4 linked regions of the Macaca fascicularis genome follow. The protein of the gene in region 2 interacts with the protein of the main gene of each other region in a pairwise test. Links are inferred from orthologs where the notes say so. Each region holds a gene or a part of one and is shown on either strand. Other genes may lie near its edges. The genes, in order: TBX15, VENTX, TBX22 and RBPMS.

Region 1 (6,989 bases), on a different chromosome or scaffold from region 2:
CAATGAAAGGATCAGAAATCAAACCTAGTTTATCTGCTGCCAAATTTCATGATCTTAACCATGGTATCCTGCTCCCACTTCAGCCCAGATGTAAACAAAATATTTCTATGATAGAATGTACTCATGTGCTAGAACACTATCTGTGAAAGAAGGTAGAGGATGTGAAGAGGCTGTCAAAAATCCATGCTTGGTCCTCTTTCATTGCCAAAGTGAGTTGTAGCTTTCTAGTTTCAACTTGGGTTACAATACTGGCTCTCCTGGTCTCTATAACTGATCTCAATAAGGCAGTAGAATGTTTGTTCTTCAGTGTTCTACAAAGTAAATCCTGATGTTGAAATATTTATTGTGACATCACTGCCTTCATCAGAAACTAACTATTTTAAATGGTGGCTGGAGTACTCTTAGAAAAGTCTAATCAGTTATCCAGAGAATTCAGACTCTTACTCCCCCTCTTCTGAGCCAGAACTAATCCCAAAGTTCTGGTTGCTCCAAAGTCCATGTCTATATTGATGCTATATCTTGTATCGGAGCTTGAAAAATCTTAATTATTACAGTTTTCTGTACGGATCCTCCATGGCTTCTGCATTTTTACTATCTAAGGAATTTGAGACAGTTTAATAGTTTCTTAAATAGCACCCAAACCAAACTAAAGCTCTTCTTCTATTTTTGATGAAATGTAGCATTCACTAGGAAAATCTGAAGTTGGAAACACTTTACAGCTGCTGAGAAGTCTAACACTGTATAGTACTTAACATTTAGTGGACTAAGGGTTATTGTATGTCAAATTCCTCTGAAAGTAAATAATACCTAAGGAATCTTATGCAGAAGGACCATGAAAGATAGAAATACCCTTTTTATCTGAGTCAATACTTACATAATTCACCTTCAGCTGCCTGGCACATAATAATCACTTGATAAAGAATTAGTAAATGAATGCTTTTCTATATATTGCTTTCACTATTAGAGCACGAAGCAGAGTATCCAACACAAAAGGTATTGAGTATAACAGTGTACACTCACTTTGCTTCCATAGGCCCCAAATAAAAGTAAGCACAGTTTCAAGCAAAATAAACAAAAAAATTCTTTGTTTTGGAAAGGTTCACTGCAGAGTCTTTGTAATTACATATTTTGACAAATAATTAAATATCATCCAATTAATAAAAATGGCATTCTTATGCAACTTTTAGGGAGTTGTGTAAAGTGAGACCACTTATAAGTCCACCTAGCCACCTTCCTCCAAAAAAAATATATAAAAACAAAAACAAAAACAAAAAACATGTTTAGAATACCCACAGTAATTCTAGACTTGACTTCTCCTTCCCCCTCTCCTACACATATTTCTCCTGCATTCTTCTGGCTAGTGTGTGTGTGTGTGTGTGTGTGTGTGTGTGTGTGTGTGTGTGTACATCAGAAAAGTGTCAACTCTTCCAGGAAAACTTACCTTATTCCACAAACCAAGAAACATTCTGCCTACATCTCTGTTATTGAGTTAATTCATTTTCCTATCATTATGTATTTACACGTCTTTCATTCAACAAAAATTTTTCTTTTCTTGAACAAAAAATACATCTTAATCAGCTCTATTTCTCTGTTAAACTTGGAACATAGTATGTTCTCAATAAATATTTATGGAATGAATGAATGTATTACAGATATAAACTTACAGATCTTATGATGTGGCTGGTGGTCACACAGAAGTAAATTTAATCTGAAAGTGTAAGTGGAAGTGGTGAGTCTTAAATAGACCCACAATAGCTTGATGACTTTGATGTAGCCTGGTGGAAGGATACACAGAAAATTGTGTATAAGAGAGAAGGCATGACTCAAACCTCAGTACTTGCAAAGGAATTCCAAATGATGAGGATCATTTGCCAGGATGTAGTAGACATCATGAACACAGGTGCAAGTACAGAGAGACATAAAAATAATTTAATAGGTTTGGTCTTCTCAGTCAAGATCTTGTCTCTGATCTAAACCTAGATGGTGTAAGCTGTTACTAGGCACTACCATATTGTTATCACCAATGCCTTGTGTGTACTGAAAAACTCTTTTCTCTCATACTAACTCTTCAGTGCCATGCAGGACTAAGCATTTCTTGCCTTTAAAAGAGATGTAGCAGAAGACTCTCAAGGGCCACCTCTTACCTGCTGGTTCTGATAGGCTGTAACTGTGGTGAACACAGTCTCAGGAAAGTTGAACGTTTTCACTCCATCCCCAACAGGAACAGGCTTAGTGGGTGAAAGGTCGCTGCTGAAGTCTTTGCGAATCACATGAACTCGAGGCTGGTATTTGTGCATAGAGTGCAGAATGATCTGAAATAAAAAGGGGACTTGTACCAGGCTTGGCTTTAAGGAACCCACATTTTGCTCTCATGCAAAATAAATCACTAAGTAGAAGCACTAGGAAAAGGACAGAGTGGAGGTGAGATGTACAGAAAACTAGAAATCAGTATACTTGCCAGGAAGAACTAAGCGATTAAATAGCATTACATGGAACCAAATAGCAGGACATCCTTATCATGGATGGTAAAAGTAATATGTTTGCTTCAATTGGATAATGCCGAATGACTTCTCTAGTACCAATGGACAACATATCACTAAAAGGTCTCAGAACCTCTGCCATGTGACTAGTTATTCCCTCCAGCTTCAAATTTTCAGCATGTATTCATGCTGTCTTTAAATTTCTACATTCTATTATTTGCATTCATTATTGAATATGTGAACATTATTTTGTTATGTGAGAGTGAATGGTAGATATGGGTTTTCACTCTTTCAGAAAATTGTTATTTCCTTGAAGATGGAAGCAATGGTTTTAACTTATTCAATCTTCCCATAGCACCCAGTATGGGTCCTGCCATTCAGTGAAAATTCAATATATGTTTCACTGCCAAAGATATATTAATAGTATCACATGCTCCAGTTATACCTGGAAAACCTTAAGATTTAGTCTTCCCTATAAAAAAAAAATTCTTGACAAATTAGTTGAAACTGTCATTCACTTGTTTCTCTTGTTTTATGGCCTTTGGGTTATTCTACTGAATGTTGTGATTTCTTTTACCACTGGTTAATTTGTCTTGTTTTTCTGTCTTGCCTCCTTGACTAGACTGTAAGCCTCTGGAGCACAAGGACTTTGTCTGATAAACACAACTTGATGTATAACAGATGTTTGCTAAATGTTAGATTTGTAATAAATGGAATTTAACTGGAAAAAAAAACACTTTTATGCTTACTTACTTAAAATGACTTAAAGTGGCACAGAGATTCCTTATTTTACCTATTTGAAAAAGACAGGGGCTAGCCAGCTCTAAAACAAACAGGGGAAGAGAGAAAGAAAGGGGAGACAGGATTCTTTGACTCACATGTCCTTGATCATCCAATTCATTGTTGGTGAGCTTGAGTTTGTCAAAACTGACCACCTGTCTCATCCAGGTGTCTCCAGAAGCCAGAGAATCGGGGTGTATATAAACTCTTGGGGGCACAGGGGAATCAGCATTGCCAGCCACCATCCACTTGGAGCTATGATACACATATCTGAGATAAAGAGAAAGAGAGGAAAATTCAGAGACAGAGGCAGAGAAGGGACAGAGGTCCAGGAAACAAGTTGAGACAGGGGAAAGGAGAGAAAAACAAAGAGATTACAGGAATGGAGAAGTAATGGGAAAGAAACAGAGAATCAAAGGAGGAAAAGAGAAGGGCAGATAAGCAGGGAAACGAAATAGAGATAGAAATGGACAAAAAGATGGAGTGGGGAGGGCAGAGAAGTGTTGTGGTTAATGATCAAATCTACAGCCCTCGCAAGGAAAACATTCTCACAGCCCTCTTCCTTTCTTCCCTCTCTCCATGCCATGCACCCCTGTGTGCACACAGGCATCCTGAACTCACATGTCTAGCTATAGAAAAGGCATTTTACTGCAACCTTTCACCTTTCAAATGCAAACCATATAATCCCTTGGCCATTTGTTCAGGATTTTGTTCCTTATTAAAAACATCTTCCATATTGTCCTATAAAATGCAGCCATGTGCAGAGCCCTTCCAAGTCTCTCACTGGTTAACCATTTCCTTGCTAAGAATCTGGACTTTGAGGAATTTCTACGATGGGCCTTTGCCTCACTGCAACCTTTTCAGAAACACCACCAAATACTCGCAGTTCACATTTTCTTTGATGAACCTGTTTTGAACATCATCTTCTACACTATTTTCCCACAAAGTCACTGGAAACAAGACGTTTGGTAGCAAAGGAAGTCAGTTTTCCCAACTTTGCCAATTTTCTTGTAGTTCAGAAGAAACATCTTCATGGATCTGGCACTTTCCTGCTTCTCAGTTCTAAAGGACCACATGGGACCTGGACCCTGAGAAATAGAGGCACCCAGTCCAAATCACAGCTCCCAAGATTCCCTAAAACAAGCTGGAAGCATCTTTTCTCCTAAGTGCTGAAAGTCAGACCGTGTCTCTCTCAGCCAGCTCTCTCCCTGCTTGAAATACTAGTCCTGGCCTTTTTCATCAACACTTGCCTCCCTATTCATTGGTTTAGGGCCAAGTTCTTAGACTTTAGATATTTCAAAAATGAGTAATGATTTACTGATTTGAGTGAGACCTCAAGAGAACAAATAAGCCACAACTTTTTTTTCTGGCAAGAACTATGTATAAGCCATCCAAGAGACATGGAGATTACATTGGCTTTTAATCAGTTTGAGGGAAAATTACTTAACAATCTCACTCACAACCCATATCAATGAATAATAATTCTCCCTAAGTAGATATTCTTCCTGAAATTTTACCCAGTTCTCCTGTTCTTCCTCTCCATCATCTATGGGGTAATCCATCAAATATACATTTTAATATGCTTTATTGTTCCACCTCTCCTTCCTCTTTCCAAAATAAATCACCCCAATTTATTTAGCATTTCACAAACCAAATTATTCAATATGTTAATCACTTCCAATATTAATTAAATTAAATTTAGACTTAAGATCCACTTGATTTTTGCTACCTTGGGAGACACTATACAGTCCCATTCTATCCAGAGACATAGCAGGGAATCCCAGGTCAAAGTTAACACTTTTTCCACCTGGTGCTCTGCCACAGGCCATTGACATAGTCTCCATTCCTTGTTCCCTGTACAGTATGCATTGTTAAAATATTTCCTCTAAGGAGTTTGAAGAATTGTCTTGGAATGCTGGTGTACCCACATTTCCACATCCCAGTTATTGTTACCTGTATCTCTTATTGTCCACAGGCACAATATCCATTGCTATGTAGTACTGCTGATGTGGATCTAGGCCAGTGATTTTCACTCTCATGGCAGGAAACATCCTCCTATATAGATGAATAAAACAGAAAGCTCAGAAATCAGAATGGGAGAAGTAGCAGGGGTAAAAGCTAAAACAATGTTTTTTGTTTTTGTTGTTGTTGTTGTTGTTGCTGTTTTTTGATATGGAGTCTCGCTCTGTCACCCAGGCTGGAGTGCAGTGGCACAATCTTGGCTCACTGCAACCTCCACCTCCCGGGTTCAAGTGATTCTTCTGCCTTAGCTTCCCGAGTAGCTGGGACTACAGGCATGAGCCACCATGCTCAGCTAATTTGTGTGTGTGTATGTGTATGTTTAGTAGAGACGGGGTTTCACCATATTGGTCAGGCTGGTCTCAAACTCCTGACCTCGTGATCTGCCCGCCTCGGCCTCCCAAAGTGCTGAGATTACAGGTGTGAGCCAATGTGCCCGGCCTAAACAATGTATTCTTATTAGATACTCTAAGCACATCAAATTCTAATGTCCTCTAATTCTCAAAGTTGGCCAATTTTTTTCACTTTGGAAATTATCACTACAAAATATACTGGAGACTTATACTACTGAACTAGTATCTCTTCTTAACTTAAATTGACCTATTTGATGATTCATACTCTCCAAGGGTTCAACCCTGCTTTGTATTTTTAGTTAATCTTTGTTGTGATATACATGTATACATAGGCATGTGTGTGGATGTGTGTAGCCAGACATACATTTCCTATTAGCTATAATCTTTTCTTTTTTATATATACTTTAAGTTCTAGGGTACATGTGCACAACGTGCAGGTTTGTTACATATGTATACTTGTGCCATGTTGGTGTGCTACACCCATCAACTCGTCAGCACCCATCAACTCATCATTTGCATCAGGTATAGCTATAATCTTTTTAAAGGTTAGTACAGCAACTTACACTCTTCTTATAATCCAAAGAGCTTTTCAGTTTATTGCAAGTTACCATAAAATATTTTCAACTGAGTTTATTTGAAAATGACCACTCTAAAAATAGTCTCTCAAGTAAAAAAGAAAAAAGGAAGGTGTGACCAGTCTCCAAACAAAGAGCCACCAAGATTTTTTAATGTGTAAAACTGTAGAAAATTTTCTGCAAGTTCTCAGGCTGTCAACGTGTGTGTCAGAAGAAGGACCCTGTGGAATTGGAAGCAAATACCAAATGAATTCTCGTGGCCTCTGGGCAATACCTTGTTTCTACCACAATGGCTTGTTAAACTTGCCAAAGCAAGTGAGGTCAGGATATAGCACTTTACAACTTCTCTCATAATTGAAGAGAGGAGGAGACAGAGCAGCCCAAAAGAGGTATTGAGTTTCAATAAGTCTAGAATAAAGTTCACCATTCTTCTTTAACCATAAGAAAGAAGAAAAACATCAAGCTCAAGCTCTTTTGTATCAAGCCGGACATAAAAAGTCCTCAGTTCAAAAATTTGGATTGACCTGAATGTGCTCGAGGCTACTTGTATGCAAAATGTTGCATTAAGCTTAACCATCTGGGGCTAGTTAGTCAAGCTGGGCAGAGCACAGTGCTAATGAGGTCAAGGTCACAGGCTTGATCCACATATGGCCTAATTGGCTTTGCTCCATTTCATGGCCATAGACCATACCCTGACCTCAGACAGCCATCTTGCAAATAGGTACTGGTTGGTCACAGGAGAGGCTCTCTGTGCTAGTTACACACTCACTACTCATCCAGGA
Region 2 (7,774 bases):
TCACTGGAGGCTCAGGCAGGAGGATCACTTGGGCCCCGGAGGTCAAGGCTGCAGTGAGCTGTGATCACATGAGGCACTCTGGCCTGGGCAACAGTGAAAGCTTGTCTCCAAAATAAGTAACTTGCTCTGCGGGCATGGCAGGATTAGCCTCCTGTGTGCTGTTGGCTTAGCGTTTTTTTTTTTTTTTTTTTTTTAGACAGAGTCTTGTTCTTGTTGCCCAGGCTAGAGTGCAATGGTGCAATCTTGGCTCACCGCAACCTCCGCCTCCCAGGTTCAGGCGATTCTCCTGCCTCAGCCTCCTGAGTAGCTGGGATTACAGGCATGTGTCACCACCTCTGGCTAATTTTGTATTTTTAGTAGAGATGGAGTTTCCCCATGTTGGTCAGGCTGGTCTGGAACTCCCGACCTCAGGTGACCCACAGGCCGCGGCCTCCCAAAGTGCTGGGATTACAGGCATGAGCTACCCCCGCGGCCTCCCAAAATGCTGGGATTACAGGCGTGAGCTACCGCCGTGGTCTCCCAAAGTGCTGAGATTACAGGCCTGAGCTACCGCGCCCGGCCCGCCGGTTTAGCGTTTCTTCAGCCCCCAGGCACCAGACCAGCACCACTTCCTAGTGGACAAGCGAAGGGGAGTGGGGAGCGTGGGTGTGTTGGGGAATGGGGACATGGGGGTGTTGGGGAGTGGGGAGCGTGGGGGTGTCGGGGAGGGGGGCATGGAGGTGTAGTGGAGGGGAGTTTGGGGGTGTGGGGAGTGTGGATGTGTAGGGGTGGGGGAGCTTGGGGTGTCGGGGAGTGGGGCGCCTGGAAGTGTAGGGGAGGGGGAGCGGGAGCGTGGGGGTGTTGGGGAGTGGGGCGGTGGATGTGTAGGGCAGGGGGCGTGGGGGTGTCGGGGAGAGGGGCCCGAGGATGTGTAGGGGGATGGAGCATGGGGGTGTGGGGGAGAGGGGCACATGGAGGTGGGGGCGTGGGGGTATCGGGGAGGGGGCACGTGGGGGTGACGGGGAGCGGGGTGTGGGGGTGTCTAGAGGAGAGCGTGGATGTCTAGGGGAGGGTGAAGAGGGTGGGTGTCGCGGAAGGGGAAGCGTAGGATGTCTCAGGGAGTGGGGAGCACGGCTGTCCCAGGAGAGCAGGAAGCGGGAGGGTGTTGGGGACGGGGAAGAGGGCACGTGAGGGTGTCAGTGAGGCCGAGGCCGCGGGGGTGGGTGTTGGGGAGGGATTGGGGCCTCCCCTTCAGGTGGTCTCAGAGTGCTCGGAGGAGGCTTGGGCGAGTCGTGACGGGGCCGGAGGGAGCAGGGCGGTCTGGACCCGGCGGCAGCACACGCTAGGTCCGGTGCTTGTCCTCAGGCCGTGGACTCGGGGGGAGCCCGTTTCGGGGACTAGTTGGGCTCCGGGCTGTGCGTGGGGGCGGGGCTGCCAGCCTGGGAGTGACGCGGGACTTCCTTGCCCAGCGCAACCCGGCCTGGACCCCGAGGGTGGGGAATGGGGCGACGCCCGCGGGGACCACCCTGTGCGGCGTGCGGGGCGCAATTCTCGGGGCTGGGCTGCCCCAGGGGCTGGGAGGAAGGAGGCGGAGGAGCGCCCAAGTCTCCTACCCATGGCGGCGCATCAGGACGCGTCCCAGAGCTGGGGGCGGACGGAGGCTCCGAGGCGGAGGCTCTGGTGACCCCAGACCTGGGCCAGAGCAGCCTCCGCGGGCCCTGGAGGGAGGGTGGAGGCAGAGGCCCGGGCTGCAGGAGTCGGGGGAGCCTGAGCCACGGCGGTGGGGCCGCTTGCCAGGGGAGAGGGGCCACCCAAGCCGCAGCAAGGGGCTGGGGTGGGGGCCCAGGACGAGGGGCTGTCTGGCCCTGCTGTGTGAAGGTGAGGAGGGGCGGTTCAGGTGGAGGTGGTGCGGGGGAGCTGGGAAACTGGCAGGAGGAGCTCTATGCAGAGCTGGGGCCGGCGAGGGGAGCTGAACCACGTGCAGAAGGTGGCTGAGACCTCGGGGCCGGGCCCCTGGAAATTAGAGATGGAGACGTGGAAGGCTGGGTGCTGGCGTTTCACAAACCCATGCTAGTGGTTTCCTCTTTATGTAAGGGATGCTTCTGGGCCTTTTCCCTGCCTGTCGAAAGTTCTGTGTGTGTGTTTGGGGGGCGGGGTGGGAGGTGAGGGTGTGCTGCGTTTTGCTCCACTTTGAGGCACCGCCCCGCCGCAGCCCCCACCCTCAGGGCCTCTGCTCCCAGGTGGCAGGGCCGCCCCCACTGCGGGAGGGCTGGGTACCTGCCTCATGGGGCATCCTCGGGGCCAGCCCTGTGGCCGTAGGCATCTGGGCCCTCGCTGCCCCTGGCCGGAACACTCTGCTGGTCCTGGGCAGTGGCTTCAAATCCCCTCTCCCGGGGGTGACCCGGTCTTTCCGGAGATGAAGTGGGGACGGGGTCTAGGCCGCCTTCCTGGCCCCCCAGCCCTCCTGGTTTTACCCCCGAGGCCACGTCCAAAGCCCCCAGCGCCCCACCCCTGCCAGCCTCCCCCTTGAGGGCCCGGTGGCCTAACTGGGTCGGCAGGGTCCGAGGAAGACCAGGGTCAGCAGCGGCGCAGTCCGTTCCCCGACCCCGTCACCTGTGACCCACCTGTTCCCCGTGAGGTCCCGCCCCAGCGCCCCCCTCCCGGGCTCCTCCCTCTTTTCTCAGCCCGGGAGGCGCGGATAGCCGGGTTGGGCGTAACCGTGGGGCGAGGCCCGCGGGTCTTTCTGATTTCGGAGAGCGGGGTGGGCGCTGAGGCAACCGCGGTCAGGACCCGGCCGGGAGTCGGGGCTGCTCCCTGGACCCCGTCTGCGCCGAAACCCCGCATGGCTTCGGACCTGCGCCCGCGCCTAACCCCGGCCGCCGGAGACGCAGTGTGGACCCCAAGCCAGTGCGCGGAAGACACCGTCCTACCCTCGGCGTGGGCGCAACGCGAGTCCGTGTGTCCCGGCGCGCGGGAAGCTGGTCCGAGGCCGGAGGGAACGCTCGCGGCGTGGCTGCCTCCCACCCGGCCACTTCGGCCCCGCGCCCCACCCCGACGGCGCAGGCGACCCGGGGACGCCCAGGACGCGGAGACGCAAACAACTCGGGACCAAGGTTCGTGGGAGCAGCGGCCGCGCGTCGCGATGACCGTCCCGGGAGCCCGTGCTCAAGGCGTCCCCGTGAGGTTTGGGCTCCACAGTCCCCGGCGGCTCTGCCCCCGCCCTGGCCACAGTGGGGACAGCCCGGCTTGGCGGGGACGCGCCAGTCCCGCAGCCGAAGCGGAGTGTCTACCCCGCCGCGCGAGGCAGTGGCTCCGGCCCTTCCAGCTCCGGATGGGGTCAGGGAGCCGCCCGCGCCCGCATGCGGAGGCTGCTGCGATGGCCCCGGGAGTGAGTCCCCCAGAGGAGCCGGAGTAGGGCTGGAAGCGGACGAGTGCCCCGAGAGGCCCCTCCCGACATTGCCGTCCCCGCGCGCCGCTCCCCGAGCCCTCCGCGTCTTTCCCGGAAAGCGTCCCTCGGTTCCTGCGCGACCGCACAGCCTGGACGCAGCGCACGCGGGCACCGGCTGAGTCCGCCCTGACTCTCCCAGCCTGAAGCCTGCTCGCCCTCGGGTGTCCGGGCTGGGCACAGGCGCCAGCGTCCCCCTGGAGAGGAGAGGTCGCCCGGCACCGCCCAGGGCAGGCCCGAGTGGGAGCGGGACCCTCCTACCTTCCAGCAGCCTCGGCCCGCGGGGTGGGGGTTGGGAGAGATGAAAGGAGGTGACCGATGCCGAACCGTCCCCTCTCCATTAACCAGGGCCCGCAGCCCCGCCCCTGCCCCAGACACCGAGGAGCCGGGGAGGTGTGAACGGTCTCCTTTGTGTCTCTGAATCGAAGGCAATTAGGCGCTGCTTATCCGGGCGTTAGCCGTGTATGCAAACCGGGCTCCCGCCCCCTCCTCCCGGGCTTATAAACGCCGCCGCCCGGCGAGGCCGGAGGTGGATCCTGCGCCTGGCCAGCCCCGCCCGGCCTTCCCTCCGGCCCACCTGGCCGCCATGCGCCTCTCCTCCTCCCCACCTCGTGGCCAGCAGCAGCCCTCCAGCTTTGGCTCTGTGGACTGGCTCTCCCAGAGCAGCTGCTCAGGGTTGACCCCCTCGCCCAGGCCTGCCGACGTCTCCCCGGGGAGCCTCCCTGGCCCGGGCCAGATATCCGGCGCCCGGGAGCCCCCTCAGGCCATCAGCATCAAGGAGGCCGCCACGTCCTCAGATCTGCCTGCGCCGGAGAGGACCGTGGCTGGTAGGTCCGGGCCGGGGGTCCTTCCCAGGTGGAGATGGGAGTGGGGGAGAGGCCAGGAGCCCGGCGGCTGAACTCCCCGCGGTACGGGGCGGACGAGGACAGGGCCGGGGACGTGTCCATGAGGGCCGGCGGAGGCCTTGCCTGCGCCTCACTGGAGCGCAGCTTCCCTCGAAACCAAAGCCTTGACGGGGATTTTCTCTCCTTGAGCCCTCGGTGGGCTCCTCTGCCTCCCTTGGCACCCCGTTCCTCAGCTGTGTCCCACCGCGGCCTGGTGCCGAGGGACCGTCCAAGGGGTCCCTGTCCGCACCTCTCTGCCCTGATTCCGGGCGCTCACTGAAACACAGCGCGGGCGTGGGCACCTGTGCCCCTAGTGTTCCAGCCCCGCAACCATCGAGACCCAGTTCCAGGGGTCCGACGATTTGCCAAGCCCCCTCTGCCCCCAGCAAAGCCAGTGCCTGCTCAGCATCTAGGCTCAAGCCCCTTCCAGGCCACCTGGAGCACAGCTGTCTTTTAAAGAGCCTGCAGGTTTGCTGTAGGGCGGCGGTGACCCGGTGCCTGCAGAAACTCTGAAGTTCGGTCTGTGGCCCGGAGATGCTCTGTTGTCTGCTGAGAACAAAGGTTCTCCGCGTTTGTGTTTTAGTCTTTGTGACATCGTTGCCGCTTTTAGGTTTAAGGTAGTACTTGGTCAAAAGTGGGGTTAACATAAGTTTTCATTTTTAAAAATTTGACTGATCCTCATGGAGTAACTTTGTACTTCAGGGAAATGAAAATTTAAATATGTTCTTCCCAGCTAGCTATCCTGCCCCACCCCAAAAAAGTCAACCATTCCTGTCCCCCAACCCCCTTCCTGATCCCAGTCCTACAGCCCTCCCCGCCACAAGGCATTTGCTTTTCGGGTCTCCCATGTGCTTTCAGGCTAACGTGAAGACAGATTTTGTAAAATACGCTTCCTTCCGCAGAAACTCCAGTGAGCATTTGGGTCAGACTTGAGTTAAATGTTGAGCTCGTTTCGCCACGTTGGCCTCCTTCCTGGGACCCAGACACACACCACCTTGTGGGGTTGTTTAGTGCCAGCCCCCATTCCTTAACTTAGAAATTAGAAAACAGACTTGACCAAGGTGGGCCTGGGGATTAACTGAGCCGGGCTCTGCTGGCTGAGGAGCCGGAGCCCAGGACAGGGACCGAGTTCCCTGGGTGGGTCCCCAGGCCTTTGCATGTAATGGACTCTACCTTACCTGCCTGGAAGTCTGCAGAAAGGGTATCCTGGGAACCGGCTTCGGAAGGGAAGTGTGGGATGGGGCCGAACTGAGTGAGCTGAGCCAGCCGAGCGGAGGGCAGGCCCAAGCTGCTGGTAGCATTCTCCCTCCCCTGAGTCACCTCTCTCAGCCCCTTTCCGCACGCACATGACCTGGAGGCTGCGGCAGGGCTGCTGGTCACTGTCAGGTGAGAAGATCTGCCCTGCCCAGCCCCCAACATGCTGTCTTCACCTGTTACCTGTGGGCGGGGCTTGCCCCATGGGGTGGCAGGCTCAGCCAAATGCTCTCACCCTCTATGCCAGGGTTGAGTAAGGAGCCAAATACCTTGCGGGGCCCCCGTGTCCGCACAGCCTTCACCACGGACCAGGTCCGCACCTTGGAGGGCGTCTTCCAGCACCACCAGTACCTGAGCCCTCTTGAGCGGAAGAGGCTGGCCAGGGAGATGCAGCTCTCAGAGGTCCAGGTGAGGCGGGCCGGGCTGAGGTGGGCAAGGGTGGGCCGGTGGCCTAGTCTCACCCCTGCTCTGATTTTGGTTTTCCTGCAGATAAAAACCTGGTTTCAGAATCGCCGGATGAAACACAAACGGCAAATGCAAGAAGTCCCGCCGAACAGCCCCTTCCTGGGGTCTCTCCACGTGCCCCCAGCTTTCCACTCACCGTCTTCTGGCCTTGCCAATGGCCTGCAGCTGCTGTGCCCTTGGGCACCCCTGCCTGGGCCCCAGGCTCTGATGCTGCCCCCGGGCTCCTTCTGGGGTCTCTGCCAAGTGGAACAGGAGGCCCTGGCCTGTACGGGGGCTTCCTGCTGCAGGCAACCTCTGGCGCACCACCCCCCAACCACAGGAAGTGGCCTGCCTGCACCGGGACCAGCCCTGTCCACGGGGCCCTGGGGCCTGTGCGCTCTGCCGGAGACAGGGGATGCCTTTTGAGGAGGCACCTCTGACTCTCTCCCACGCTCACAGTCTTGCGGATTGCACCTGGCTCCTACCTGGAGGACTCAGCTGTTGTGTTTACATCGTGGTGGCGCCTCTCACCCTGACCACACAAAGATTCTGGAGATTTCTGGAGAATAGATATATATGTATGTATCTATCTATCTCTATATATATGTATATGTGTATATATATGTATTTTTTTTTAAAGACAGAGTCTCGCTCTGTCGCCCAGGCTGGAGTGCAGTGGCGTGATCTTGGCTCACTGCAACCTCCACCTTCCGGGTTCAAGCGATTCTCCAGCCTCAGCCTCCTGAGTAGCTGGGATTACAGACGCACGCCACCACGCCCAGCTAATTTTTTCTATTTTTAGTAGAAACGGGATTTCACCATGTTATCCAGGCTTGTCTTGAACTCCTGACCTCGTGATCCGCCCGCCTTGGCCTCCCAAAGTGCTGGGATTACAGGCGTGAGCCACCACTCCCGGCCCTGAGAATATATTTATTAAAGCCACCTCTTCACTGAAAGTTACCGAAAGGGTCGGTTTAGGAAGTAAATGAAGGGTCAGTGAACAGAGTCAGATGCAGAAGTGGGCTTGTCATGGGTAGGGCTTTCAGCGTACGATAAAAGGATCGTTTGTTTTTTAAAAAGTGTTGGAAAAACTGGTTTTCCAGTTGGAAACAGTAAAGGTGGTAAGCTTTGTGTGTAAAAAAGAAAACCAGGAAGGATTGGAAGGGAATGCAGGTGTCGTGTTTACAGCCTTGTGGTTCAAGTCCCTCTTAACAAGAACTCCAAAGCTGGAAAGCAGGAGGGAACAGGTGAAAATGAAGGCGGGGATGCTGGGGTCCTGCAGTGTGCTCTGGGCGGTGCGTGAGCCGGGACTGCCCACGGCCTGCTGGGGGCTCTTCTCCAGCCGGGGAAGGTGGGGCAGCTGGGACCTGCGGCTGTGCCTGGACTGAAGCTGTCCCGCAGGTCCCCGCCCTCCAGCACCAGCTCACCTGCCGCCTCCTCACAGCAGCCTCGGGACAAAACAGAATGACTCAAGGACAGCACTTCCTGCAGAAGGTCTGGGAGTGCCCAGAATGGGAGGCTGGGAAGCCCCTCCCGGGGAGAACTCCCCCATCGATGGACCATTCTTGGTGCAGACTTCTGACTGCATGTGTGGAAACTTAGACAAGTGAGCATCCGTCCACGTCGCCTCAGAGTGCCCGGGGGCAGGCAGTGCGGGGCGCCCAGGCGACAGGTTCAGCCTGCAGGACTGCGACCTGTGAAACCCACCCGGGCACCCCAACGGGAGCAGAAGCGTGGTCCTGCGGCCGCGTCCACAGCGAGTTCCACT
Region 3 (6,981 bases), on a different chromosome or scaffold from region 2:
TTGACTTGTCCCAGCTTCAGTCCTTGCCCACTGAAGGGGTTAAAACATTCTCCTTTAAAGAAACTGAGTTCACCACAGTAACGGCTTACCAAAACCAACAGGTAAAGCTGGTCATGTCTCAGGCAAATGGAAATGGCTCCAGAGGGACCTTGGGATAGAGGCTAACTGCAATCAGTTGCATTTTCCACAATTCTAAATAAAAATCATAGTTTTATTGAATTGTCATCCATGCAAGTTTGATAATGAATTGTGTAAATCTTATGTGAGAAGGCAACTCCAGAATGTAATTTATAAAAGTAATGATTTTTAAATAGGAGCTAACCATTCTAAATATGACTTGCAATATGGTTACATTTATTTAAATTGTCATATTACATGTTGCAACATCTTTTCTGGTGGTTGTAACCACTATAAGCAACGGTGACAGTGTTCTCACTGAAAGCAATGATATTATCTTTCTCTCTCTATTGAATCCATAGATTACGAAACTAAAAATAGAAAGAAATCCTTTTGCTAAAGGATTTAGAGATACTGGAAGAAACAGGTAAGCAGCATAGCAATGACATCTAATATTGATGTAGCTAGCTATTTTCACAAGTTTTTATTTTTATTTTTATTTTTTTTTTCTGAGATGGAGTCTTACTCTGCTGTCCAGGCTGGAGTGCAATGGCGCGATCTTGGCTCACTGCAACCTCCGCCTCCAGGGTTCAAGTGATTCACTTGCCTCAGCCTCCCAAGTAGCTGGGATTACAGGCGTGAGCCACCACGCCCGGCCCCCCACAAGTTTTAAGGATAAGAAAACTGGCTCAGAGACTCAAACGCTCTAAATTTTGTAATTAGTAGGTGGTAGAAAAGGAACCCAGATGTTTTGTGTCTAAAACATTACTTCCTCCCACTCCTTTGCTACTCAGTATTAAGATCTTGCTTATTTTAGAATTCTAGGTTTAACTGAATTTTATTCAGAAGTCTAGCTGTATAAAAGAGAAATATTTAAAATAGTTACATCTAAAAGACATAGCCAAATAACTCAAAATCATTATGTTCAGAAATTGCATTCTGGGGATGCTGAAAGTTGACTCTCTTTTTTAGGGGTGTATTGGATGGGCTTTTAGAGACCTACCCATGGAGGCCTTCTTTCACTCTCGATTTTAAAACGTTTGGCGCAGACACACAAAGTAAGAAAACTTGGAACATTTGTTTTATTTTTACATATTAATTAAATAACAACATCCAGAACACTTGTACCAAATACTATACAAAGGGATATGTACATGCAAGAAAATGTGTACTTACAGGTAAGTGGGTGTACCTCTGCCTGAATGATGAGGTAAGAGGCATAAAGGGAGAGAAGCTGGCATAAAGGAAGAGAATAGAAATGTGGTAATTGTGGACTTATTGAGATATGTTAGTAAGTTATCTTACACCCTGTGATTTTCAGATTTCATCTGGATTCTTCAGCCTCTCACTATCTCACGTTCTTTAGGATATGCCTGTGGTGCATTTGTAGCCTGATTTGCAGATATGTTACTATTGAAATGAATAGTTTATCTTTTATGAGGACCTTTCAGTACACGTTAAAATAACTTTCATTAAATTCATCACTTAGCTCTAATTTTCCTCTTTTTTGTCCATGGGGAAAGTAAATGTTAAAAATAATACTAAGTCTTCACAATTTAATTGCCACAAGCATTTAAAAATATTTGCAAGATATTTATTCTCAGATGGTACATTACATGACAAAGTAATAACAATTAAATAATGCAGACTTTCTGGTGGAAGAATACCTTAATTTGCTCTGATAGTTAATAATAAACAGAATAATTTTTACTTGAAAATGACATGGATTTTTTTTATCCCTTTATCTTTACTCCATCGGAGTTGCTTGACTTTGACCATTAATTCAAGGTTACAACTACCAAGCAAAATCAACATTATAGTTAGGTTGAGTTTTACATGATGCCATAATGACTAACTGAAAAGGGAAGAAGTGAAGTCTAATCATTTGGTGAAATATTTCACTGGATGATTGTCTCGATATGGTTTAGGGAATCGCATGAAAAATATATAAACACTTATTTTACAGTGTCGATTTAACCAGTAGCATCTAGGAAGCATACTTTTAAAATATCCAAGTCAAAACAAATGCGCATTAATAAAGAAAAAGTTAAAGATGATCATGAAATGTTAAAGTACACAGTTTTCTTAATTATTTAAGATATCCAAAATGCTCTCAAATTGCAAATGAGTTACTAGTTTCTTAAATAACTTTTAAATGCTTTATTATAAAATATATTTGCAATCTTGTTGATGAAGGTTTAGGATATGTCTACATACACAAAAATAGTTAAGAAAACAGCAACACTAAAAAAAGAAACAACTTGGTCAAATCCAGCCAATAACCAATTGTTTGAATTCAGACATTTACAAAAATAAGGTTTAGAGTTTCCTGGACCTTGTAATTATCCCTAGTTTTAGTAGAGCTAGGCAAACATAAAAGATCACCAAACATCATTGATATGAATACTTACATTCATCTTTATGTTTCTTAACTTGCAAAATTGTTTCCAACTCTTAAGATACAATGCAGTATGGAAATTGCCCCATTCATTGTTTTGTATTAGAAAAAAAGCTAAGGCTTTTAAATATATTGCTTTCATTTATACAAGACTATTTTCATGTACACTGATTTTTAAATCAGTGGTCAGAGGAATTTTTTAAATCATTATAACTTTGGTCAGAGGAATTTTTAAAATCAGTATACCTTTGGTCAGAAGAATTTAAAAAATCAGTGTACATGAAATCTATGCATTCTATCTATAAATTAAATCTACATAATCCAAAACAACCAATCAATTTGTTCATCTTAAGTACTTATTTTAGTATTTTTTTAAGATTACTAAAAATTATTTATTATGTAAATATTTTAATTTTTAAAATAATAAAACTAGTTTGTGTTGGTAAGATATAATTGACTCCGAGTCATAATTGGATTTCTTTGTAATTCTTTGGACAAATGTGATTCAAGTGCCTAGCACAATATTTGAGCAAATGAATGCTTAATACATGATACATAGTAGTAGTGCTAAAAGTAATAGTGGTAGTATTATAGATCAGTGGTCCCCAATCTTTTTGGTACCAGGGGCCAAGACAATTTTTCCATGAACAGTGGGAGTTGGGAGGCGATGGTTTCAGAATGAAACTGTTCCACCTCAGATCATCAGGCATTACATTATCATTAAAGAGCACTCAACCTAGATCCCTCACATGCACAGTTCACAATAGAGTGTGCGCTCCTATGAGAATCTAATGCTGCCACTGATCTGACAGGAGGCAGAGCTCAGGCAGTAAGGTAATGCTCACTGGCCTGCTGATCATCTCCTGCTGTCCAGCCAGATTCATAACAGGCCACAGACCTGTTCCAGTGGGTAGCCCAGGCATTAGGGATACCTGGTATAGATACTACATTGAACTTTGGTCAGAGGAATGAGCAGGTCCTGTCTCAAAGAAGCTAAAAGAACTGTGAACTCACAAGGAAAGTTAATCTAAGGATGAAGCAGGGATAGTGATGGGTATGATTACTAATATAGCAGGAACATCAAATGTCAAATTCATTATTCATTGACTGAATTGTCATTCACAGGTGGAAGCAGTGGCTCATCTCCAGTGACCTCTAGTGGAGGGGCCCCCTCTCCTTTGAACTTACTTTCTCCACCTTGCTTTTCACCTATGTTTCATTTACCTACAAGTTCCCTTGGAATGCCCTGTCCAGAGGCATACCTGCACAATGTCAACCTGCCTCTTTGCTGCAAGATTTGTCCAACTAATTTTTGGCAACAGCAACCTCTTGTTTTACCGGCTCCTGAAAGACTAGCAAGCAGCAACAGTTCTCAGTCTTTAGCCCCACTCATGATGGAAGTGCCTATGTTATCTTCCCTGGGGGTCACCAATTCAAAAAGTGGTTCATCTGAAGACTCCGGTGATCAGTATCTACAAGCACCTGATTCTACCAGTCAAATGTTGTATGGATTACAGGCACCTGGAAGTATTTTGCTGTCAAACTCCATCACCCAAGAAGCACTTAGTTGCTCCTTTCATCCTTCCTATGGCTTTTATAGATACAATTTCTCTATGCCGTCTAGACTGATAAATGATTCCAACCATCTTAAAGTGAATGACGACAGTCAAGTTTCTTTTAGAGAAGGCAAATGTAATCATATTCATTGGTATCCAGCAATTAACCATTACCTTTAGTAAAACAATAGCATTTCTAGAACAATTACATGAAAACAAATATTTTCTTTATTTGTAGCCAAAGAAATTTCAACAGTTATTGGTCTTGAAAAGCATCATTACAATAAGTATTTCTTTGTTATGCATTTAAAGATTTAAAGTGCCTTATCAATATTCACGAAGAGCTGTTTATAATGTCAAATGCAACGTATAGGAATCTCTGATTACAGTGGCCTTGAGCTTCAAAATGAGCTATGCAATAAATATTATTTGATGATACTCCACCACTGAAAATTGATGCTAAGCGATAGGATTTTCAATTATAGTGAAGCTAGTTCACCATGATAACTGCATTTTACACATTGACAATGACAAAAAGAAGAAGGATGTAACTCATGCAAGCAGTGAAGCAATTTCAGTTTTAACAATGAAGATTGGCTTTAGTGTCATTATCTAGTAGTTGTAGAAAAAAATTTAATTACTTGTTTGCCTTATGCCTTTATACTTTGCTGTTGAAGAAACTGCTAATCTCAATTTAAGATACAAATAAGGACACAAACTTTTAAGTATTATATTTTATTTATCTTTGTAGCCTAAAGACCATTTGATCTAGAAGGAACACAAAGATCAAATGAAAAGTAAAACACTCTAATAAATTTGCTTTTATTTTCTTTTATTTTTGGATAAATCCTAGATAAAACTTGTTCATGTATTCCTTTAACACATCTGGTATTTTACACAATATTAGAAAAACATATTATTATAGTTCTCTAAGAAGATAAAGACATTATGATTATAAGAGGGAAAATATATTTGAATCCATAAATATGAAAATATCATTATTCTGGTATGATTTAACTCCACTCTTGTATGTCAATCATAGTGAATTAAGCTAAACAAAAGTGGAATAATATTTGAGTTTATGAAGTTGAAAAGATTCCTTTCACCAGGCCCTAAATTTCTGAAAATAATTATGAGGTATAACCTATACATAGCCAGCATATCTTTAAGATGAATCAGATACTGAGTTTATGCTAGTAACTCTAGACATTTTATTAAGCCAAGCCCTTTAATATCACAATGGAATTACTTGACTTTTGACAAACTAAGCAAACTGCTAACTGATTTTTCTGATTTTTCCAACACATATAAAGAAGAGCATATCAATTATTTTGCTTAAAATGATTATTTCATCCCAAATATGCCTTATAAATGTGCCTTCCTATATATGTATTAAAACTATGTGCCATTCACTCCTGGGAGTAGGGATAGGATGCCACATGATTGCATTCAAATTAAGTATTCTAGTCAAGATGAAGTATTATTTGCGATCTAATGTAATTAGATACTGTTGCAAAAGTCTTTAAGGAATAAAATGTATACCACCCAGGTTTATTAAACCAGAAATTAAAATAAGAAAAGACATTTTATTTTTGACTACTCCCAAACAGGAAAGCTAAAGGCTGACTTTAATTAGTAAAATGGATTGTTACTTTTTAAGCAGAAACCCTTATATCAGATTATAAATGAAACATTCGGAGGTCTACATGGCAGAACCTCAGTAATTGGCAAGAAAAAGTATTTAACTGAAAAATCAAAGAAATATCTGGGTTACTTTTTAGTGACTATTTAAAAGAAGGGATTAATTTTGGAGCTTCTCCAGAATACATATACCCAATGCTGTATGTGTCAGATAATATGACTATATGTTACTCATATAAACTAGTAATATGTGATTACATTGGTAATGGTGATTAACATAAAGGGGCAAACGTTTAAATACAAGAAGGAAACATTTATGTTGTTACATTAAATAATATTCATAAATTGTCATTTTGAACTTTTAATTGAAGAAGTAAACAAGGAAAAACCTTCACAGATAATTAGACTTGGAAGAAACCTGAAGAGATTCAGTAAGCAATCCCCTGCTTCTGAGCAAGTGACTCATTTGCAGAAATCTTCTAACAGCTCTAATTCATGCACAGTAAATATTTAGTGTCTTCAACTATTTTCTGTTTAATAAATTCTTACTCCTCAATGGATGGTGCAAAACTCGAGTAACTGGGTAAATTGATGCTATGGTTATGAAATGAAAAACAAAATGATATGTAATTCTATCATTTTCACCTGCATCAACTTAACGTTAGACTTGCTTTAGAAATCTACAAAAATCCAAAGCCACTTTTGTTGGACTAAGTGTGTAATAGCCTATAAAAGTGACCAAATGATACTTAATAGACCCCAATATCTAACAATTAAAACCTCTATTTCCATCTGATTTGACCATATATATATGGGAACCACTTCTTTTTATATTCCTCCTTAATTCAGCTCACTAAATTTGTAAAATCTGATTCTTAACCTGACCTGGTTATATGACTTACCACAAATAAATATAGGGAAAGAAAGCATTTCATTAACTATAAAATTTGTACGTTGAGTCAGAAAATAAATGAATGGTACTTTACCCTTTCACAGTCCCCAGTCAAGCTCAGACCTGTAGTCAGATTCTCTGGTCAGGAAGGTATTATTTTATGGAACAATCAGTCAGCTGAAATAAGGACTTAAAGTATGAGCCTGGTTACAAAACACATATCTAAGTAGATAAATTCTCTATTCATTGTACTTTAAAGACCAATATATAGCTTTAGGTAATGTAATTTAGACATCAAACTCTAATGCCATTATTTCTTTTCACCATACAGAGGGGTTAAGCCCTCTGGAAATTACATTTTGAAGTATCATATATAA
Region 4 (7,788 bases), on a different chromosome or scaffold from region 2:
TAAGAATCAGTAACCCATCAGACTTAAAATGCTCATTTATTAAAAAATAACTGAGTGCCTCCTATGTGTTGGGCACTGTCTAGATGCTGGGAATACAACAGTGAATAAGCCAGATAAGGATCCTCTCCTGGAACTTATTTTTGTTTTTTTGTGACAGAGTTTCACTCTTGTTGCCCAAGCTGGAGTGCAATGGCGCAATCTTGGCTCACTGCAACCTCTGCCTCTCGGGTTCAAGCAATTCTCCCGCCTCAGCCTCCCGAGTAGCTGCTATTATAGGCGTGTGCCACCACACCCAGCTAATTTTTTTGTATTTTTAGTAGAACCGGGGTTTCATCATGTTAGCCAGGCTGGTCTCGAACTCCTGACCTCATGTATTCGGCCCACCTTGGCCTCCCAAAGTGCTGGGATTACAGGCATGAGCCACCGTGCCCCGGCTGGAACTTATTTTTGTTTCTTATCCCAGAGATTTTTGACTTTTAACAATGGACAAAGTCCTGGCTTGGCTTAAAGACAAAGGAACCAGATTCTTTATTTGGAATTAAGCCATGCTTCTCTGGGTGGGGATAGGAGAGGTTCTCCAGGCATCCTGATATCACACAACGTAGTCCACCTGCTCCCAAGTGAAGTCTGAGTGGAACTATTGACTACATTGTCATTTTTGTTGGGCCCATGCCAGGCTCCAAGAAGACCATGCCCTTCTGTGGACTACGCTCCATAACAGGCAAGAATGGCCAAAGACACAGTGCTAGCATCATGGGCCACCACGGGGTCCTAAGACCACCACTCACCTATTATTGCTCGGGTAGACATTGCCCCCTCGTGGTTCCTCATGTAATTGAGGGAGAAGCTGGCAGTGCAAAGGGCTGCCAGTTAAGGCAATCAATACATCCAAACACGTGCAAACTTTCCAGATTCACTGTAGCCTTGTCTCTTCTGAATGTCTTGGGTTGCAATTTCAATAGACTTGGTTTATTTTCATCCAGGATACATGTTTGTTCCCCTTAGAGAGAAATCACATTATGACAGCAATTAAAAAACATCTTTTCCCTATGGAAATCTTCCTGTTTCAAAATCTCCAAACCCCCAAGATAAACCCAGTATGTAAATCCAAGTATCACTACTGTTTTTCTCATAATGCCCTTAAAGCAAATATTTTCCTCGCTTTCTATAATCGGAAAGAGGATTCTGAGAGTATCTTGGCTCCATACCACTTTATTTTTTTGTCTTTTCTTTTTTTCCCCTCTTTGTGGAGAACAGGGTCTCACTATGTTGCCCAGACAGGTCTTGAACTTCTGGGCTCAAGCAATCCTCTTTCCTCTATCTCCCTAAGTGCTGAGATTCCAAGCGTGAGCCACCGTATTACTTTAAACTCCCTAAAGGGAGGGTCCTTATCTGCAACGCCCACAGCCGCCCCCCCCCCATCCCCAGCAGCACTTAAATCAGTATAAAGAATGTCTGCTGGGGGGTGGGGAGAAACAGTTAAGCAAATACTGTAGTTAGAAACTTACTGGTGCAGGACAGGAGCAGCAGGCTGGGACGGAGAATTCCTGGGAGTAAGAAGTGGGGCAGAACCCACTGATACATGGAGTTCCACATTTATACATTTGTAGCAGTCAAATCTAAGAGTTTAACACAGTGGTTCCAGACAGTAATTCCATCAGTTTGGGAGGCCAAAAGCCGGAGGATCACTTGAGGCCAGGAGTTCGAGATCAGCCTGGGCAACAAAGTGAGACCCTCATTTTTCTAAAAAAAACAAAAAAAAAAAAACAAAAAAAACAGAGGCTTTAACGATCGAGTATTGGAAAAGCTTTCTAAGGCCCGGGAAAAATGGAAGTTTCCTTAATAATAATGTTAGCTTCCATGTATTGTAAACCTAAACGAAGCAAGAATGAATACTGGGTGCTGTACATAGTTCTATCAACCTACAATCTCGAAAACGCTAGGAGACACATTCAGCTGCTCCCATTTAACGGATGAGGAAACAAGTACGCAATCCTGAAGTTGGTGCAAAGCCCAGGCCCCCTTTCTTCTTCAAGTGTGCTTCCAGCCTCTGAAATTCCTCCGTGTGGACCCCGAGCTCTGCCTGCAATGAGGAATATTCACTTTGCCAACAAATATTTATTGAGTGCCTACTATACACCCGGTAGCTCGTTTAAATAGCCGTGGGATTAAAAAGATAAATAGGGTAAGTTTGTGGTTTTTTCTTCCAGGAAGGAGCTTTCTGAAGGGTGAGGGAGAGGCCAAGTAAACAATCCCAGAACAGTCGGGTGAGAGTTGGGAGAGGAGTCGGGGGCCGCGGGACGCCCAGGCAGCGAAGCGGGGAAGGCTCCGGGCGCGTCGCAGGACCCGCGCTGGAGATGGGTTTGAAGCCCTGTCCTGAAAAAGCCGGCCCGGAGGGGGCTGTCCCCGGTGTCCCTCGAGTTCTCATCCTGTCATTCAAACAGCAGGGGAAGAACCGGGTCTGGCTCGGGAAGGGTGGGCTTAGGGCCAGGGGTGCAAATCCCATGGTAAAAGCCGGCAAACAAAAGTCGCACACATCCCAGCTCCCGGTCCTGGCCCCGGCGGGGCAGGGTCCCCGAAGTCCCGGGGCGCGCAGACGCCGGGGCCCCCGGGGGCCGAGGGAACTGCAGTACCCGACCTCCCCTGCCCTCGGCCTCCAGGGCCCTCGCCCTCCGACCAGCCGCCGAGTCTGGGGCTGGGGTCGCCGCTTCCGCCCGCGGCCCGCGGCCCCTCCCCGGCGCGCGCCATCCGGCCGCCGGCCCCTCCTCCCGCGGGGGGCTCCGTCCCGCGCCCCGTCCCTCCGGGCTGCAGCCGGCAGCCCACGTCCAGGGAGGGCGGAGGGAGGAGGAGAGGCGCGGAGAGGAGGGAGGGGAGAGGGGAGGGAGGAAGACGAGAGAAAGGGAGCTGCTTCCATCCCGGACTTCCCAGAGCCTGCCTGGAGCGCGCACTCAGCGGCTCTCGGGTCCCAGCGTCCCAGCCGCCGCCCGCGCCTCTCCGCCCCGCTCCTCCTCCTCTTCCTCCTCCTCCTCTTCCTCCTCCTCCTCTTCCTCCTCCTCCTCTCTAGGCACCCCCGTCCCCTCCTTCCAGCGGCTGCAGCCCCCAGCCCCAACTCTCTGCGCTTACTCCTGGGACGCGCGTCCTCGCCCCATCCTTTGCTTCCTTCCTTCCTTCTTCCTTCCTCCCCTGGCTCCCGCCCTCCCTATCCAGGTCGCCCTCCCGGGGCCCGATTGTCTCGGTGCCCCGCTCTCGGCCCGCGCCCTGCCCCGTCTCTCCCTCGTACTTCCTGAGTCGCCCGCCGCTGCCGTCGCAGTCTCGCCGCGGGAGCCCCAGCCCGACAGCCACTGCCCCGGCTCCAGCTCCAGCCCCGCAGCCCGCGGCGCCCGCCCGAGGGAGCCCCGGCGCCCGGGGAAGGCTACAGTGGGCGAGCGCGCCCTCGCCCAGCCCCGCGCCCCAGCCCTGCCCGGCCCGGCGAGGAAGGACCGGGAAGATGAACAACGGCGGCAAAGCCGAGAAGGAGAACACCCCGAGCGAGGCCAACCTTCAGGAGGAGGAGGTACTGGGCGGCTCGGTGCAGTGGCGGGGGCGATCCGGGACCCAGTGCGGGCGGCCGGCGGGGCGCGGGCGCGGGCCCGGGGCGCGGCGGTGGAAGGTTTAGGCATGGCCCGTGCCCGGGACGCAGCCCCGCAGTGTGGCCCGGGGAGGGTGGATCTCGGGAAAGTGTGTTTTTGTGTCCACGCGCGTCTGCGGGCCCCAAATTGCGTAACTCTAAGGACTTTTCGGAGACTTTTGTAAGTATAATGCTCAGCTTTGTTTGCCCGGGATTTAAAAAGTGGAACCGAGAGCTGACTCCTGGGTGACCTCAGATATCGGGACTCGGAGGGTCAGGACTTAGGGCTGGGGCTGGAAATTGTGTGTGGATTCGGGGTAGCGGGGGGGCAGTTTAAGGAAGAAACTCGGGGAAAAGTTTTCATTAAAAGATACCTCTGTTCCCTGCCCCCTCCCTTTCCGTGTTAAAAGTTCTTGGTGAAATATCTTTCTAGCCGAGGGTTTTTGGATTAATAGATAACTCATCAGCCACATTCTTCTCTGCTGAGTCAAAGACCCCGAACCTGGGCGGTGAACGCTTGCGAATTTAGGGCCGTGCAGATGAGGGGAGCAGAATAAGAGGGTTAAAAACGCAGCAATTCACCAAATGCTCATCGAGGATACTTTTATAGGACTTTGACTTCTGAGCACGCATTTTAGGTGGTGCGTCCTCACGATGAAAGTTTTGTGACTGCGGAGCGTTCCTTCGGTGGAAACAAAATTGAGTAGATGTGGTCAGAAGGGGAGTCGGACTCAGGAACAAACGTTTCAGAATTCAGTAGTAGGGTATTTGTGGTATCCTACCAAATGACTGTTTCTGCAGGTACATTATCTGGAGTCCAAGAAATTACTTCTGGCGTACTTTTTAATATCACACACAGTTGAGTTCTTAACATTCTAGAGGAACTTGAGAGTGTGTGCAGATGCAGGAAAGTGCATGTCTCAATATGACCCGAAAAGATTCACACAGGTATTGCATCCTGATCTAGGTGAACACAGAAGGTAAACGGATTCTAAAGCGTTAGGACGTTGAGATCATTGTTGAGACACTGTTGTGTGCAAACTTCAATTCTGATAGTGAAACCAAAATTGCAGAGGAATTCATTAATGCATACAAGTTCTCTGCACATTGTCCACTTGGAAAATGGGAACTATTTAGGTGGAGAAGGTAGAGGAGCGAGACTATGCCAAACAGTGCAAAATCGGAGATTTTACTCTCTTACCCAGTTGTATGGTAGTGAAAACCTAGATGAGTTGCAGTCAGTCAAAAATTGCTTTCTCACCCGAGGACATTTTCTATTTTATTATAAAAGACTATTTGAAGAGTTGTTTACATGCATGTTTTCTAATTACAAGTGTAGGAATGCTACTGGCGTTTCTTTTTTCAAAGCAATGGAGAGTTGAATGGTATGTTCTAACTTTTTTTCTTGAACTTTACTGGCTGCTTTGCTATTTATTTTCCCTACCACTTAAAAAAATTTAAAAATAATGCTTTTTTAAATTTGCTTTTTTAGGAATTACTATAGTTAACTAATTCACTTACCATATCAAAATAATTATCGCTTCAGAAATCTTCCTATTTCAGCTAAATGTGCAATCTGTTTGCTTCTCAGGGTTAGAATATTATATCAAACCATCTTTATTTACCCAGTTGAGAAAACTTTTTTTTTTTTTCCTTTTGGTGGGTAGCAAAAGAGGTTCAATGTCCTAAAAATCATACCCACTTAAAATTAAGTATAGAAAAGGCACATTTTTCCGCTTGACCCATCTTAACAGCTGCCAGCACCGAGGGATTGCCTGCCCTGTTCCTGGACGCTCCTCTGTCCTTGCGAGGTTGTGTGTAATAATTGCTGTATAATCGCGGACCATTGCAGTATGGTTGCTGCCTCTTACTTGTCCTGTTACCTGACAGTGTTCTTTTTCAGGTAGGAATGGCATGAGGCTCTAGAAAGTATCGATATTTTTAGCAAAACACTTGTTATGTAAAAAATAAGGGGACTGGTAGGAAGATTTCAGAACCTAAGTTGTCCAAGAGATGTCGTGTACAAAACAGATAAGACTGTGAAGAGAGGGGGTTTATAATGTCAGAAATTCAGGAAAAGAAACTAAGGTGGCCTGAATGATCCGGGTAATTTTGCCTTAATTTCCTATTTTTGGTTTATATTTTGTTCTTGAAAAACTCTTACCCTCTTTTTTGGTTTTTTTCTTTCTAACCCTGAAAGCCACAATTAAAATAAATAGGGTATTTGGTAAGTGCCATTAATGAGCCCGGCATTACACAAAACCACTACATTGACCCTTTCCCTGCCCACCCATCGCATCAGCAACTTGCTCTTAAACACATTTAAAAACCTTGGCAGTGGACTCCGGTAAACAGAACACACACATACAACATATATATATATATATATATATATACACACACACACACACACACACACACATAATGACAAGAGAGGAAAAATGTGTTTTGTTGTAATTTCTGGTGGCCATTGAACTGACATGGAAAAATGAGTCCAATCGTCATTAAGGGAAAATAGTTTATTTCACAGATCATGAGGGTGGTTTCGGCTTTCTCCACATTGAATCCAGGTTTGATTTTTTCTGTGTTTCTAGTTTTGAAATGAATTCCTTTTATCAACTAGTGTATTTTAGCGCTTTTGAGAGTTTCTAATGCTTACCCTGAAATAATTGGTTCTAATTGTATAGAATGAACAGTTCAGGATCTAGGAAAATTTTTGCAGCTTTTTAGGGTTGGACGTTTTTGAGAACTTGGGCAGAACGTGTATTAATACTTCTACTTTAGATAGCATTGAAAACTTTGAGGAAAAATAATTTTAGGATTTGGCTAGCCAGTTGTGTAAGAGAGATGATACATTTAGCTTTCTGGTTTTTAATGTATTATTACATTAAATACGTGTATAATACACGTAAAATGTATTATGCGTGTGTGTCCCCTAAGCAAGTTGTCCTGTAAAGACTAATCAGTTGTCAAAATCTCACATTTACAAGGTTTGTTTATATATGTTTAGAGTATCATACCATTTCTTATATTTTACAATTCATAAAATGATTCCTAGAATTTCTCTAATTTTGCAATCAGACTTTATAAAAATTAATATATAAGTAATAGATCCATAATTGTCTTGGCTAATCAGTTATAATTTGAGTTTAAAGTATTTTCAAATATATGAAGACCTTTTCTGTCTTATAGCTAGAAGTAACTTATTTGTTGGTCACTGAATTTTCAAGATAGAAATTTAGATTAAATATGTGATTTGGTTTTTATTTCTACTTTTATGCATGTCATTGAGTACTTTTCAGGCCGATTATAAAACATCTTTAAAAGGCCTTTTATTATATTGAAGCTCTGGTGTTAATTTCTCCTTAAATTGCTTTGAATTGACTTGTACTTATAGTAAAACTAAAGAAGCAAAAAACATGGAAGTGTTGGAATATTGATCAAAAAGATGTGCAGAAATCATATAAAGTCAGTTCTTCAGAGGTTAATGCAAACCTTTACTTTGCATTCCTTCTTTTAAAGTGTTTACTAATTTTGCCAAAATATTGGGGTTGTAAAGAAAATTGTTTCTTACAGTTGCTACAGAGAGGGTAATGTCAGTATCAGGCAACCTCAAATTTTCATTGAGCATTAAAGTCAGTCTACATTATGACTTCAGGAAGGTACAGAATGGTTTTATACAATTTAACCAAGATTGGGGATCTCTGTTATTCCGAGTCCAATAGTCCAATTCAATGCAATAAACATATATTTCAGTTGTAGAATAGGATTTGGTGACAACTGATGCTCCATGACCCCTGCCAGTACGGCATGCACTTTTTGAGTTATTTTTTCAGTAGCGGTTTAAACATTTCCCTGATAAACCCTTGTGTGCGTCTGCAGGCTTCTTCGTTGCCAGTGGCGTTTAGTTTTCAGATGGGTAGTTTAGAAGGGATGGAAGCTCTTTTCTGGAGATGCTTTCATATGATTTTTGTAGGTTCATATTAATTTTTGCTTTACAGATGAAAGTGTTCAGTGCTGGTGATAAGGCAATAAAGTGGGTACTTTTGTGCAGAGCAGTGGTGATATAAATTAGTGCAGCTTTTCAGAAAGGACTGACACTGTCAAAATGTGTTCAGGCCCTTTGATTTAGTACTTTTATTTTTAGAAATTTACCCTAAGGAAACAGTATCAAAGATTTA

Evidence for each region.
Region 1: the proteins of VENTX (region 2) and TBX15 interact in binary tests that used the Homo sapiens proteins (3 or more experiments, as listed by UniProt). The two-hybrid records come from large-scale screens. The link is inferred for Macaca fascicularis from reciprocal best matches to the Homo sapiens genes VENTX and TBX15.
Region 3: the proteins of VENTX (region 2) and TBX22 interact in binary tests that used the Homo sapiens proteins (3 or more experiments, as listed by UniProt). The two-hybrid records come from large-scale screens. The link is inferred for Macaca fascicularis from reciprocal best matches to the Homo sapiens genes VENTX and TBX22.
Region 4: the proteins of VENTX (region 2) and RBPMS interact in binary tests that used the Homo sapiens proteins (3 or more experiments, as listed by UniProt). The two-hybrid records come from large-scale screens. The link is inferred for Macaca fascicularis from reciprocal best matches to the Homo sapiens genes VENTX and RBPMS.

Annotation. Positions count from the first base shown.
Region 1 is NC_088375.1:115,504,353-115,511,341, reverse strand, and holds part of TBX15 (T-box transcription factor TBX15), read right to left. Parts: intron 5,316-6,989; coding exon 5,214-5,315; intron 3,531-5,213; coding exon 3,359-3,530; intron 2,313-3,358; coding exon 2,145-2,312; intron 1-2,144. UniProt on the Homo sapiens protein: Probable transcriptional regulator involved in the development of the skeleton of the limb, vertebral column and head. Acts by controlling the number of mesenchymal precursor cells and chondrocytes.
Region 2 is NC_088383.1:142,305,845-142,313,618, forward strand, and holds the start of VENTX (homeobox protein VENTX), read left to right. Parts: upstream 1-3,581; 5' UTR 3,582-4,010; coding exon 4,011-4,251; intron 4,252-5,497; exon of another isoform or gene 5,498-5,654; coding exon of another isoform or gene 5,655-5,694; intron 5,695-5,809; coding exon 5,810-5,970; intron 5,971-6,051; coding exon 6,052-6,432; 3' UTR 6,433-7,774. UniProt on the Homo sapiens protein: May be involved in ventralization.
Region 3 is NC_088395.1:86,616,719-86,623,699, forward strand, and holds the end of TBX22 (T-box transcription factor TBX22), read left to right. Parts: coding exon 1-101; intron 102-479; coding exon 480-544; intron 545-1,089; coding exon 1,090-1,175; intron 1,176-3,640; coding exon 3,641-4,251; 3' UTR 4,252-4,939; downstream 4,940-6,981. UniProt on the Homo sapiens protein: Probable transcriptional regulator involved in developmental processes. This is major determinant crucial to palatogenesis.
Region 4 is NC_088382.1:33,582,332-33,590,119, forward strand, and holds the start of RBPMS (RNA-binding protein with multiple splicing), read left to right. Parts: upstream 1-2,926; 5' UTR 2,927-3,487; coding exon 3,488-3,553; intron 3,554-4,946; exon of another isoform or gene 4,947-4,989; coding exon of another isoform or gene 4,990-4,992; intron 4,993-7,788. Other genes in the region: uncharacterized protein, read right to left, coding at 2,153-2,914.